3 linked regions of the Elephas maximus indicus genome follow. The protein of the gene in region 1 binds, or shares a complex with, the protein of each later gene. Links are inferred from orthologs where the notes say so. Each region holds a gene or a part of one and is shown in the gene's direction. Other genes may lie near its edges. The genes, in order: F2, SERPIND1 and SERPINA5.

The links.
Region 2: the proteins of F2 (region 1) and SERPIND1 are in contact, whole or in part, in a crystal structure (PDB 1JMO), measured with the Homo sapiens proteins. The link is inferred for Elephas maximus indicus from reciprocal best matches to the Homo sapiens genes F2 and SERPIND1. Residues at the interface, in NP_000497.1 of Homo sapiens: Lys384, Ser385, Pro386, Gln387, Leu389, Leu390, Cys391, His406, Cys407, Tyr410, Pro412, Trp413, Asp414, Lys415, Leu423, Arg425, Ser430, Thr432, Arg433, Tyr434, Lys440, Ile441, Ser442, Met443, Asn458, Leu459, Lys470, Trp511, Ala513, Asn514; in NP_000176.2 of Homo sapiens: Glu75, Asp76, Asp77, Asp78, Tyr79, Leu80, Leu82, Ile85, Phe86, Asp89, Asp91, Val305, Glu306, Met307, Thr308, His309, Gln327, Asp343, His361, Lys362, Arg388, Thr457, Val458, Gly459, Phe460, Met461, Pro462, Leu463, Ser464, Thr465.
Region 3: the proteins of F2 (region 1) and SERPINA5 are in contact, whole or in part, in a crystal structure (PDB 3B9F), measured with the Homo sapiens proteins. The link is inferred for Elephas maximus indicus from reciprocal best matches to the Homo sapiens genes F2 and SERPINA5. Residues at the interface, in NP_000497.1 of Homo sapiens: Arg383, Pro386, Glu388, Leu389, Leu390, Cys391, His406, Cys407, Tyr410, Pro412, Trp413, Asp414, Lys415, Trp455, Glu457, Asn458, Leu459, Asn506, Arg541, Ile542, Asp562, Ala563, Cys564, Glu565, Gly566, Asp567, Val588, Ser589, Trp590, Gly591; in NP_000615.3 of Homo sapiens: Gln241, Lys295, Lys296, Arg297, Thr368, Ile369, Phe370, Thr371, Phe372, Arg373, Ser374, Ala375, Arg376, Leu377, Asn378.

The regions. Positions count from the first base shown.
Region 1 is NC_064825.1:102,166,381-102,170,200, forward strand, and holds the start of F2 (prothrombin), read left to right. Parts: upstream 1-1,546; coding exon 1,547-1,625; intron 1,626-1,994; coding exon 1,995-2,158; intron 2,159-2,801; coding exon 2,802-2,826; intron 2,827-3,059; coding exon 3,060-3,110; intron 3,111-3,820. UniProt on the Homo sapiens protein: Thrombin, which cleaves bonds after Arg and Lys, converts fibrinogen to fibrin and activates factors V, VII, VIII, XIII, and, in complex with thrombomodulin, protein C. Functions in blood homeostasis, inflammation and wound healing.
Region 2 is NC_064840.1:21,269,218-21,272,817, forward strand, and holds the start of SERPIND1 (heparin cofactor 2), read left to right. Parts: upstream 1-811; 5' UTR 812-836; intron 837-3,600. UniProt on the Homo sapiens protein: Thrombin inhibitor activated by the glycosaminoglycans, heparin or dermatan sulfate. In the presence of the latter, HC-II becomes the predominant thrombin inhibitor in place of antithrombin III (AT-III).
Region 3 is NC_064828.1:108,117,163-108,120,982, forward strand, and holds the start of SERPINA5 (plasma serine protease inhibitor), read left to right. Parts: upstream 1-1,610; 5' UTR 1,611-1,679; intron 1,680-3,820. UniProt on the Homo sapiens protein: Heparin-dependent serine protease inhibitor acting in body fluids and secretions. Inactivates serine proteases by binding irreversibly to their serine activation site. Involved in the regulation of intravascular and extravascular proteolytic activities.

The DNA.
Region 1 (3,820 bases):
GCCACTGGGCAGGTTCAAACTGTCAGCCATTTCATTAGTGGCTGAGCGCTTTACCATTGTGCCACCAGGGCTCTCTCTCTCTCTCTCTCTCTATATATATATATATATACACACAGACAGACATACACACACACACACAAAATATAAGAACTTTGGCCACCCAGGAATTAAGCTGATTCCTGGGAGCCTGGTCTGCAGGGCTCTGCCAACCCTCTCTGTTACAAACACTGCACCAGGCCCCTGCCCGTGATCTTGCCAGGTGAACATGACTGCAGTCCAGACCCCAAACAGCCAGGCCCAAAGGATAGGCAAGGCAAGGCCCTGTGCTTCCCTCTGTTCTCGCTCTTTGTCCTTCTGTCCTAATTAGACCCAGGACTAATATTTATCTTGCAGACTGCACACAGGAAATGGGGGAGGGACAGGGAGCAGGGCTGGGCCCAGGGGCAGTATAGGACCTGCAGCCACTCTAGGCTTGGACCAGGTAAGACAGGCAGGGAGAGAGGGAGGGGCCCTACCCCAGAGGCCCTGGGATTTGGGCTGGCTTCTGTTCCGGGCAGGCAGCAGGTCCTGGGAGATGAAAGAAAATAGACCAAAGGCCCAAGAGGCCCTGGACCTGCTCCTCCCAGGTAACCACCACATACAAACACACATCCACAGCACCCCAGATGGGAAAAAGGGGAAATGGAACCTTCCATCAGTGGTTGAGAGTCCGGGGCCCCTGTTGGGTGTCCCTGCCCCCAGCACATCCCAGAAAGAGGTGGACAGCTTGTGTCTGGCCACATTGTGGCCACACCCTTGTCTCCGGCCACATTGTGGCCACACCCTTGTCTCCATTTTCTTATATCTGCATATTGTGATTCCACAAACCTCTCCGTCAGTTTACATACATTTATCTACCAATTATTTATGTATTGACATACATTTACCAATTATTAACAAAAACCAAATCTGTCGCTGTCAAGTCAATTCTGACTCATGGCTACCACACGTGTGTCAGAGTAGAGCTGTGCCCCATAGGGTTTTCCATGGCTATGATCTCTCAGAAGTAGATAGCCAGACCTTTCTTCCTGGGAGCCAATGGGTGGATTCGAACCCCCAATCTTTTGTTTAGTGGCCAAGCACAAACCATTTGCACCACCTAGGGACCTTTACATTTATAATCTCCTTTACTCCTCACACCAAGTTCTATTACCATCCCCATTTTACAGATGAGAAAACTGAGGCATATAGAGACTAAAGCAATCATTACCATGTATTAGCTTCAGGAAGATCTTGGCCCAAGTTCACCTCATGCCCCAGGGAGAGGAGGAGTGGGGGTTGGTGGTTACAGTGACCTTTCCTTTGTGGCTTCCTCTCAGACTGTCCATCTCTGGTCCTAGGAGAACGTTTTCACCAGATGGCGGGGGTGGGCAGGTGAACTATCTATCTGCTTGTCCCTACGGCCCTGAACCCATGACCTCTCCTTCTCGGCCAATTTCTTCATGCTAGTTCAACATTAACCCAGAGGGGTCAGGATGAGCCTTCAGAGTCCCAGAGCAGACACACTATGGCGCACGTCCGAGGCCCGCGCCTGCCTGGCTGCCTGGCCCTAGCTGCCCTGTTCAGCCTTGCGCACAGCCAGCATGGTAAGGGGCGGCTTGGAAGCTAGGACAGGCTGGAAGACTGGGCCATGGGCCGTGGTTGGGGTCTACTGGCCTGACAGAGAACACGGCTGACCCCCAGGAGGGTCTCAGCCCAGGGTATCCAGCTTAGGGAAGCAGCTAGGTCCTCAGGGCTGGAGGACGCTGGCTGCTTCTCTCCTGCAATATGGGGAGTGCGCTGGAAGTGGCCAATGTAAATAGGGGACCTGGTGGGCTACATTTGGCTGCTTTCTGGCTTCCGCCGGCATGCCAGCCACCCCCTTCTGGATGCCAGCATGGCTTGCTTCCTGGCCCCACCATGGCCAAGGCCGCCTGGCTCTCTGAGGCCGCTGTCGCACGACCCTTCTACCGCAGTGTTCCTGGCCCCTCAGCAAGCACTGTCGATGCTCCAGCGGGTCCGCCGTGCCAACAGCGGCTTCCTGGAGGAGATGCGCAAAGGTAACCTGGAGCGAGAGTGCGTGGAGGAGCAGTGCAGCTATGAGGAGGCTTTCGAGGCCCTGGAGTCTCCCAGTGACACGGTGAGGACCAAGAACATCGGAACTCATTAACTACTGCTAAGTTAACTTCAACTCTGATCCCCATTCCACTGGGCTGGCAAGGTGATCAACCTCAGCCATTTTTGGAGGTCCCTGTACTTGGCTATGCTGAAGTGCCAGGGTCTGTTGAGGCTGCCTGACATGCAGAGGCCTCCTTGGTCTCCAGACAGCTGCCTATGTTGGGATCTCTACAGTCCCTTGCCCTGACCCATGTGATCTCTTCAATTTCAGCCTTTCTGTGCCACCCTTGGGCTATGGGAATCCTATGAGGCCAGGAGCCCTGGGCTTAGGCCTCAGCGTTCCTGGAACTCTGGCAGCCTTTCCCTTCCTTGGGTGTCTGCCAGGGCCCGCAGCTAAGGACCCATGCTCCTCTCTCCTCTCACCTACCCCAGCTCAGGGGACCCCTTTTCAATTGTGGTGAGTGGGAGAGAGTGGACTCCCCTCTCCTCAAATACCCTTTTCTTTAATGGGCTTGGGCTTTTGGTCACCAATCTCCCCAGAGCCTGACTCTGTGTGACTGAGCTAAGGGAAGGGAAAGTCATTGGAGAAGACAGAAGTTTACTATAATAAAAATAAGTAAATCAAAGGCTCTCGGCTCAGTCTCACTGCAGTCCTTGTTTTTCAGGAAGCATTCTGGGTCAAGTACACAGGTGAGCATCGAGAAGGATCTGCTCCTGGAAGGGAGGCCTGGAGACTCGAGCTAGGGAATGTTCTACCTCACAGAAATATCTGGTTCACCAGTCATCCATCCATACACTCACTCAGCCTTCTTTCTTTCTATCTGTTCATTTCTCTGCTTCTGAGTATTACCCCCCCCCCACCCTTTATTCCAGTCCATCCTGTCCCTACTCTGCTTCCAAAGGTGTTTCTGGGTCTTTTGCAGCTTGTGAGCCAGTGAGGACACCTCGAGAAAACCTCGTGGAATGTCTGGAAGGTGAGGAAACAACAGCGTCAGGGGTGTGGGATGTGAGGGGTAAGCAGTCCCAGGAGAGAGGGGCCTGAACCTGGAAGAGGAGGAGGGTAGGGGTGGGTTAGGGGATGTGGCCCAGTAGGGGCAGCCTCTTACATTGACATTGCCTTTCTTTTTTTTTTTTAATTGAACTTTAGATGAAGGTTTACAGAACACTAGTTTCTCATCAAACAGTACACACATTGTTGTACGACATTAGTTAACAACCCCATGACATGTCAACACTCTCCCTTCTCAACCCTGGGCTCCCTATTACCAGCTTTCCTGTTCTCTCCTGCCTTCCAGTCCCTGCCCAGGGTTGGTGTGCCCCTTTAGTCATGTTTTCTTCCCTGGGGCTGTTCAATCTTTGGCTGAAGGGTGAACCTCGGGAGTGACCTCATTACTGAGACGAAAGGGTGTCTGGGGGCCATACTCTCAGGGTTTCTCCAGTTGCTGTCAGGCCAGCAAGTCTGGTCTTTCTTTTTGTGTTAGAATTTTGTTCTACATTTTTCTCCAGCTCTGTCCCAGACCCTCTATTATGATCCCTGTCAGAGCAGTCAGTGGTGGTAGCCAGGCACCATCTAGTTGTACTGGACTCAGTCTGGTGGAGGCCATGGTAGATATGGTCCATTATGACATTGCCTTTCTGTCCCTATGGTCTAGCCTGTGTCTCTGCATCTCTAGCCCCCAGCTTC
Region 2 (3,600 bases), on another chromosome or scaffold:
CTAAAAAATCAGCCACTGAAAACCCTACGGAGCACAGTTCTACTCCGACACACATGGGGTTGCCATGAGTCAGAGTGGACCTGACGTTAATTTTTTATATCATAGCCCCATGGATCCCTGTGAATGCCTAAATGGACTTGAGTTTGAAAACCACTGCTTCAGGTAACATCCCTCTCTCTCCAACAATGAACATGACAGTTTGGCTGCAAGCTCTCCTTGACTGGAGAAAGGTTCTATTCCATGGTTTCTTCGCGCTCTAAGCCACCAATCTCATACTTTCCCCTCCACTTTTGTCTGAGGTACATGATCACAGAAGGACGGGGACACCTGCCTCATTGCCGAAGCAGCCACGTCAACCCTGGAGACCTGGGCAAGGTCAGATGCTGTGATCAGATCTCCCTCTGGCCTCGTAAAAGGAAGAGAAATACTTGGAGGGCAGGTCTGTAGCCTCTACTTTCAGGGAAGCGTTCCAGCTCTCCCTGACTCAATCTCATCACCCAGAACTCTGAAGAGTGTCTTGGTGACTTCAGCAAGGGCTGCTCCTGCACCAAGGCTCTGTAAGCACGCAGACAATTCTGGTGTCACACGTTCAAAACAGCAGCTAAGTCACAACTTGAGCTAAATCACAAGCTGAGAAGTCACAAGTCACTTAGCAGTGATCAAAGACATAGTTGAGGGGGTTTGTGCTGACAAAGCTAGCTGAGTATTGTTTGACTTGGGACATATTTACTTTGGAAAACATGCAACAACAGCTTAGCACCAAAGTTCACATTGAAATTCCACTGCTGATCTTGGCTGTTTTCATCTCTGCAACTCCACGTCTCAGCAGCACAGAGGTAAGTCTGGTCTTTAACACTTCTGCTGATCATAAAATCTTATTTGTGATCTTTCAATATGAGCTTCATTTCTCCATCCGACTACAAATTTCAATGCTTTCTATACTATTTGAGAAATGCAAAGATTTTTTTTTAAAACCTGCTTATTATAAAATTCTGTCAGTTATGTTATCAGGACAATTGACAAAATTGGATCATGGACCATAGAATAGATGGAAGTATTACATATACGTTAAAATATTTTGAATTGGATGACTGTACTGTGGTTATGTATGAGAATAATCTTGTTCTCAGGCACTTTTCCCTAAGGTATTAGTATTAAGGATTAAAGGGCCAGGATATATGCAACCTACTTTCAAATGGTTTGGAAAAGAATAATATGTGTGTGCGTATATATATGTTTACACACACACACACACATACATATATGGAGAGAGAGAGAAAATGATAAAGCAAACACTTCAAATACAAAACCCTAGTGACTCTCTGGGTAAAGGGTATATAGAGGTTGTTCTCTATACCATTCTTGCAACTTTTCTGTAAACTGAAGTTATTTCAAGATAAAAAAGATTTTGTAAATCCAGGCAGTTATGTCTCTCCTACCACACCTGCTGTTTGGGCCTAGTCCCCCAGGAGGGACAAGGTGTCCCGGTGTCATGCTCTGACGAACCACTGAAAAGTCCTGCTCCACACAATTAACACAAGAAACCACCATGTGAAATTTCCATGAAAACAAACTTTTGAGCAATTTTCCTATTGCTCTCTTCAAAGACAGTAATCTGAATTTAAACACAAGCTAAACCTAGTGATAATTTTTAAATATCTTATATAATTTTTGTGGTACTAAGTAGCAAAACCAAGGAGCCTCAGTGGTACAGTGGTTAACTGCTCAGTTGCTAACCGAAAGGTTGGTAGTTTGAATAAGCAGCAAAACCAAGGAGCCTCAGTGGTACAGTGGTTAACTGCTCAGTTGCTAACCGAAAGGTTGGTAGTTTGAATCCACCAGCTGCTCTGTGGAAGAAAGATGTAGTAGTCTGCTTCTGTAAAGACTATAGCTTTGGAAACCCTATGGGGCAATTCTACTCAGTCCTATGGGGTCACTGTGAGTGGGAATCAACTCGATGGCTACAGGTTTTAAGTGGCAAAAAATCAAGGACCATAAAGGACCTAATTGTTATATATAGAAAATATCATAGTTTCTGCTTCCTCTCATGAAGGAATAATGAAAATTACTCTTGGCTTTTCAACATATAACATAGGTTCAGAGTATATGAAGCTTCCAAATATACTATCCGAATACCAAGATAAATACATGAATGCCTTTGCCCCGTCCTCCTAGTTGGTTCCAAATTTTTTTTCCTGAACTCTTATCTATTCGAGTTTATTTTTTTTAAACCTTATTTTATCTGAGAAGGATACTTTTAAGTGCCATCTATCAAGCAGATGTCCACCAAGTTGCTTTTCTAACTTTTTAAAATGTATTGCCATCAACACCCAGGCCCCATGCTATTTGGAAACTGGGCCTAATTCTACCTGACAGCCAAACACTGCAGAATTTATTCACAGGTGCAGACCACAAGGTACGACAGTGCTCACTACTGGGAGGCTGGGCGAAAAAAGACAGCAGACACTTTGAAAGTTAGAAACTCCGAGGCTTCCCCTCCTAAAAATGTGAAATTCAGAAACCTCTCAGTCATGACTGACACACACTTTGAGCTGATTGTTTTAGTAGTTCCGTAGGGGGAAGGCCCAAGGAGGGAGACTGGAGGCAGGGAAGCCGTCCAGGAAGTGACTCTCAGAACAGGTCTGTCTAAAGAGGGGCTGTCAATCATGTGCTCCTTGAGTAACGGAGTGCTCCATGCTCCCCTGTGAACAAGGCACACTAGACTCTGAGGAGCTGGCAGTCCAGCCAGCTTGGCTTGAACCTAGCCACTGCCACTTTTAGTGATGTAAGACTCAGTTTCCTGCTATGGGAAATGGCAAGGGCAACACTGAGAGAATTAGTTAAATCACAAAGCACAATAGGCATTGCTCTTATTAACATCTACAAATCTTACAGTATTTCAAGTGGGTATCCAGACAGTTGGGTGGTGCAACTTTGGTTAACGTGCTCGGCTGCTAACCAAAAGGTTGGAGGTTCGAGTCCACCTAGATGTGCTAGGAAGAAAATCAGCCTTTGAAAAACCTACGGAACACGGTTCTATTCAGACACACATAGGGTCACCGTAAGTCGGAGCTGACTCAACAACAACTGGTTTCCATGTAGTTAGCCCCGACTTCTGGACTAACAAGTTCAAATATTTGCTTAACGGAAGCCAGTAACTCTTATCTGGCCTACACTGGAGGCAGATATTCTGGCCCTCACATATCTACTGAGCAGGAAATGATCACTGAAGCACAACCAACTTAGCAGAACAAAAGGCTTCCTTCCAGGGTGAGCAGAAGTCATACTGGGATCATGAACTACCTGCCTGGGTCAGCATTATAAACACTAACTGTCAGCGTCCAGGCAAAACGTGGACACATCAAATTATACCTCATCTACCCGGGATGCCGGCACTGGGTTTTTTTTACCCGGAATGCAGTTAATAACCTGGACATAAGCAAAAGGAAAACTTATTTGGCAGCCAAAATTGATTTGACAAGCAAGTCAAATCCTTCCTGGCACAGGCAAGGGACTGACAGATAAATATAGGCTTGCCACAAGGTCCGTGTATTAATAACCAACTTTACTTAAATGAAGGTAATGACGCTTAGGCCTTTA
Region 3 (3,820 bases), on another chromosome or scaffold:
TTGACCTTCTTGACCCCCTCTTATAAAGACCTTTGTGGTTATATTTAGGACCCACTTGGATAATTCAGGACAATCTTCCCATCTCAAGAGCCTTAACTTAATTAAGCACAACTGCAATGTCCCTTTGCCATGTAAGGAGACATTCATAAACCAGTAAAAAAAAGGTTCTAGATAATAGATATCTGGATAACTTTAGGGTGAAGAATACTGAATACACCATCAACTGCCCGAAGGACGAACAAGTCTGTCTTGGAAGAAATACAGCCAGAATACTCTTTGGAAGCGAAGATGGTGAGACTTTGTCTCATGTCCTTTGGACACACCATCAGGAGGGACCAGTCCCTGAAGAAGGACATCATATAGGTAAAGTAGAGGGTCAGCAAAAAAGAGGAAGACCCTCAACGAGATGGATTGACACAGTGGCTGCATCAATGGGCTCAAACATAGCGATGATTGTGAGGATGGTGCAGGACCGGGAAGTGTTTCATCCCATTGTACATTGGGTCACTCTGAGTCGGAACCTACTCTCTGGCACCTAACAACAACATGTAGCCTATAATAGGTGTGTAACACCGATTTCCATCCGATAGAGCACAGTTTAGGAATCTCTAGGTTGGTGATCCTCCTTCCGCCTGCAGTTTATCCTACTGTGGTGGCTTGTGTGTTACTGCGATGCTGGAAGCTATGTCGCCAGTATTTCAAATGCCAGCAGGGTCACCCGTGGTGGACAGGTTTCAGAGGAGCTTCCAGACTGAGACAGACTAGGAAGAAAAGCCTGGCAATTTAGCTCTGATAATTAGTCAATAAAAACCCTATGGGTCATTACAGAACATTGTTCAACTCACTTGCTTTGGACACCTCACTGGAGGAGGACATCATGTGTGGTGAAGTGGAGTCAGAAATGGCAAGGACGACCTTGGATGAGATGGATTGCCTCAGTGCCACAATAAAACATGCCCGTGATCGTGCTAATGATGAAGGACTGGGAAACATTTCATTCCGTTGTTCACAAGGTAGCTATGACTCTTAGTCCACTTGATGGCAGGTAACAATAGATGTCAGAGAACTGGGCACTAAGGCCCCGCTCTGCCCCTAAATTGATGTACGGCTTTGGGAAGTCCCTTCACCTTTCTGAGCCACAATTCAGTGATTCGTGCAACGTGGGGACCAGACACAGTGGCCCCTCAACTCAACCATCCTGAGGCTCTCCTAATCCCTTTAAGGTCCACCAGCATCTGGCTGTTGAGGACCACGAGACAAGTCAGCACAGAAGGCCTGTGGAGTCTGGGGCTCAAGTCTCCCCTTTCTTGGATCTGTAGCAGATGGGCTGCAGAAACAAACGTGTTGAGTCTAATGAAAAGCGGGGTGTGCTGACAGTGGCCTTTCCTGACTCTGCCTCGTCTCTCCAGGGTGCCCATGCATATACAGGCAAACTGAGGCCGGTGTGGGGCTTGAAGGACAGTGAGTGGGTGGCCCTCATGCAGCTTTGTCCACAGCCCGCCTGCTGGCTAGAAGCCTTGCAGGACAGAGCAGGGCGCCTGGGGCGGGGCCCGGGAGGGGTGGAGTCCTGGCCGCTAAGGTCGTAGGCAAGTTCTGGCTCCAGTCCAGCCAGCTCTCTGCCCTTTGCTAAGCCCGACGGACGCCACCTCCACTGTCTCCACGCTCGGCCACTGGACAGAGTAAGTACAGACTCTGGAGTGCAGACAGGGGCCTCCTGGGGCTTCCAGGACGTGGGAGCAGAGACAAGGAATGGGCTCTGATTAAGGGACCTGGAGGGTGCTAGAGCTGCAGAGGCATCCCTGACAGATAGAGGGAGAGCGGGAAGGGCCCTCATGGCAACGTGAACTGAGCCAGGGAGGAGAGTCTCCCCTAGCTGTGTGACCTTGGGCATGGCACTAATGTGGCCAAGCCTCAGTTTCCTCATCAGTAAGGTGGAAATAGTTAACCCTCTGCATACGCCTGGCCTGATATGAAGATTAAGTAAGGCAGTGGTTCTCAGCTAGGAGTGATTTTACCCACCCCCTCACCCCAGGCACATTTAACAATGTCTGCAACATTTTTGGTTGTCATAACTAGATGGGGGCGGAGGGGGGGCTACTGGCATCCAGTGGACAGAGGCCAAGAACGTCGCTAACATCCTACAATGCACATGGCAGCCTCCTCCATGACAGAGGGATCCAGCCCCAGGTGTGGACAGTGTGAGGTTGAGAAACCCTGAAATGAGGACGAGGAGGAGGGGACAAAATGCCGGGCTAGCAGGAGGTGCTCAGTAACCTTGGCTTGCATTGTTTTCTATGCCAAGGGTCTTGACCCATAAAATCAGGAAACATTCTAAAATGCAATCCACTTCCCTGAGATAAGGCCTCCCCTCAGGGTCACAGCAGCTGCCCGCCAACTCCAGACACCATTTGGCAGTTTGTTAAATAAACACAAGGTAGACAGAAATCAGCAGTTTTCAGTTTTTAACGGATGGGACCTTTGGCAAGAAATGCAACAATAAAAGGAGAAACTGCTCCCCTGAGTCAGGAAACAGGCTGAGCTAGGGGAGGGAGTAACTCAAGGTCAAGTTAACCCCGGGGCTGGTGGTGTGAGCAAGGGTCTGGATGCCCAGCCTGGCTCTAGGTCCACTAGTCAGCACCCAGCCTGCGGCCCGACACCGAATTACAAAGGATGGGCCAGGGGTGGTTCATTCCTTCACTCATTCATCCCACAAAGGTGCATGGAGCATCTCCCCGTGACTGGGGGCAGAGCAGATGGGGGGCTCCCTGCTGTGAGCACTTATTCTAGTGGAGAGAGAAGCAGAACAAAAGAAATTGAGCCCAGACGCATGCATAATTGATGGGAAAGGAGCCCTGGTGGCCCAACAGTTAAGTGCTCAGCTGCTAAATGAAAGATTTTGAACCCACCCAGCAGCTCCACAGGAGAAAAGACCTGGCAATCTGCTTCCATAAAGATTACAGCCTAGGAAACCCTATGGGGCAGTTCTACTCTGTCCTACAGGACCACTATGAGTCGGAATCGACTTGATGGCGCACAACAATTGATGGGGCTCTTGAGAGAAACAACCAAGGGGCCTGGGCCCAGCTTCCAGAGGGACCACGAAGAAGGGGCCTTGAAGCTGAGGCCTGATGCTCTGACGAGAAAGGTGGGGGAGGTGGGGGCAGGTTTCCAGGGGAGACAGTAGGACATGAAGGGCCCGGAGCGCTGGAGAGGGCATTGGGTTTGGGGAAATGAGAGAAGAAGTGGGCCTAGAGGAAGTGAAAGTGGGAGAATCCATCAGGGGGAGGCCAGAGAGCAGGGCAAAGGGGACCCTGAAGGGCCTTTGGGTTGGCACACAAACCAAACTCAGATTTCCCCCAAAGATCCAAGGGAGTGCTCTGACAACAAGGTTTCTGACTGAGGAAGCTGGTTTGTGGGGGCAGGAAGGAAGGCTTTGCAGGGTCCAGGCGAAGGACGAAGGGGCTTTCACTGAGATGGAGTGCCCCCAGTAGGTTTAAAACATATCTTGGAGATTGAAATCGACAAGACGTGCAGATGGATAGGAGGTAGAGGGGGAAGTTAAGAAAGCTTCTACGGTCACTTCTCCCGTGAAGCTCTGTCCCCCCCGTCTTTGAAATCCAGGGAAAGGTGCAATTTGGCCTCTCCCTGTTTGGATTTGACAGGTACGGAACAGACCCTCCTCAGCTGCATGCCTCCCACAGAGTCCTAAGTCAGCCTGTCTGGGGTTTGGTTGCCTAACATTAGGAGTATCAGCCAACGGGTTTGGGGTGCGTGGCTGTGTGGACTCAGCAGGAGGACTGACTCCCCACACCAGCCCCCA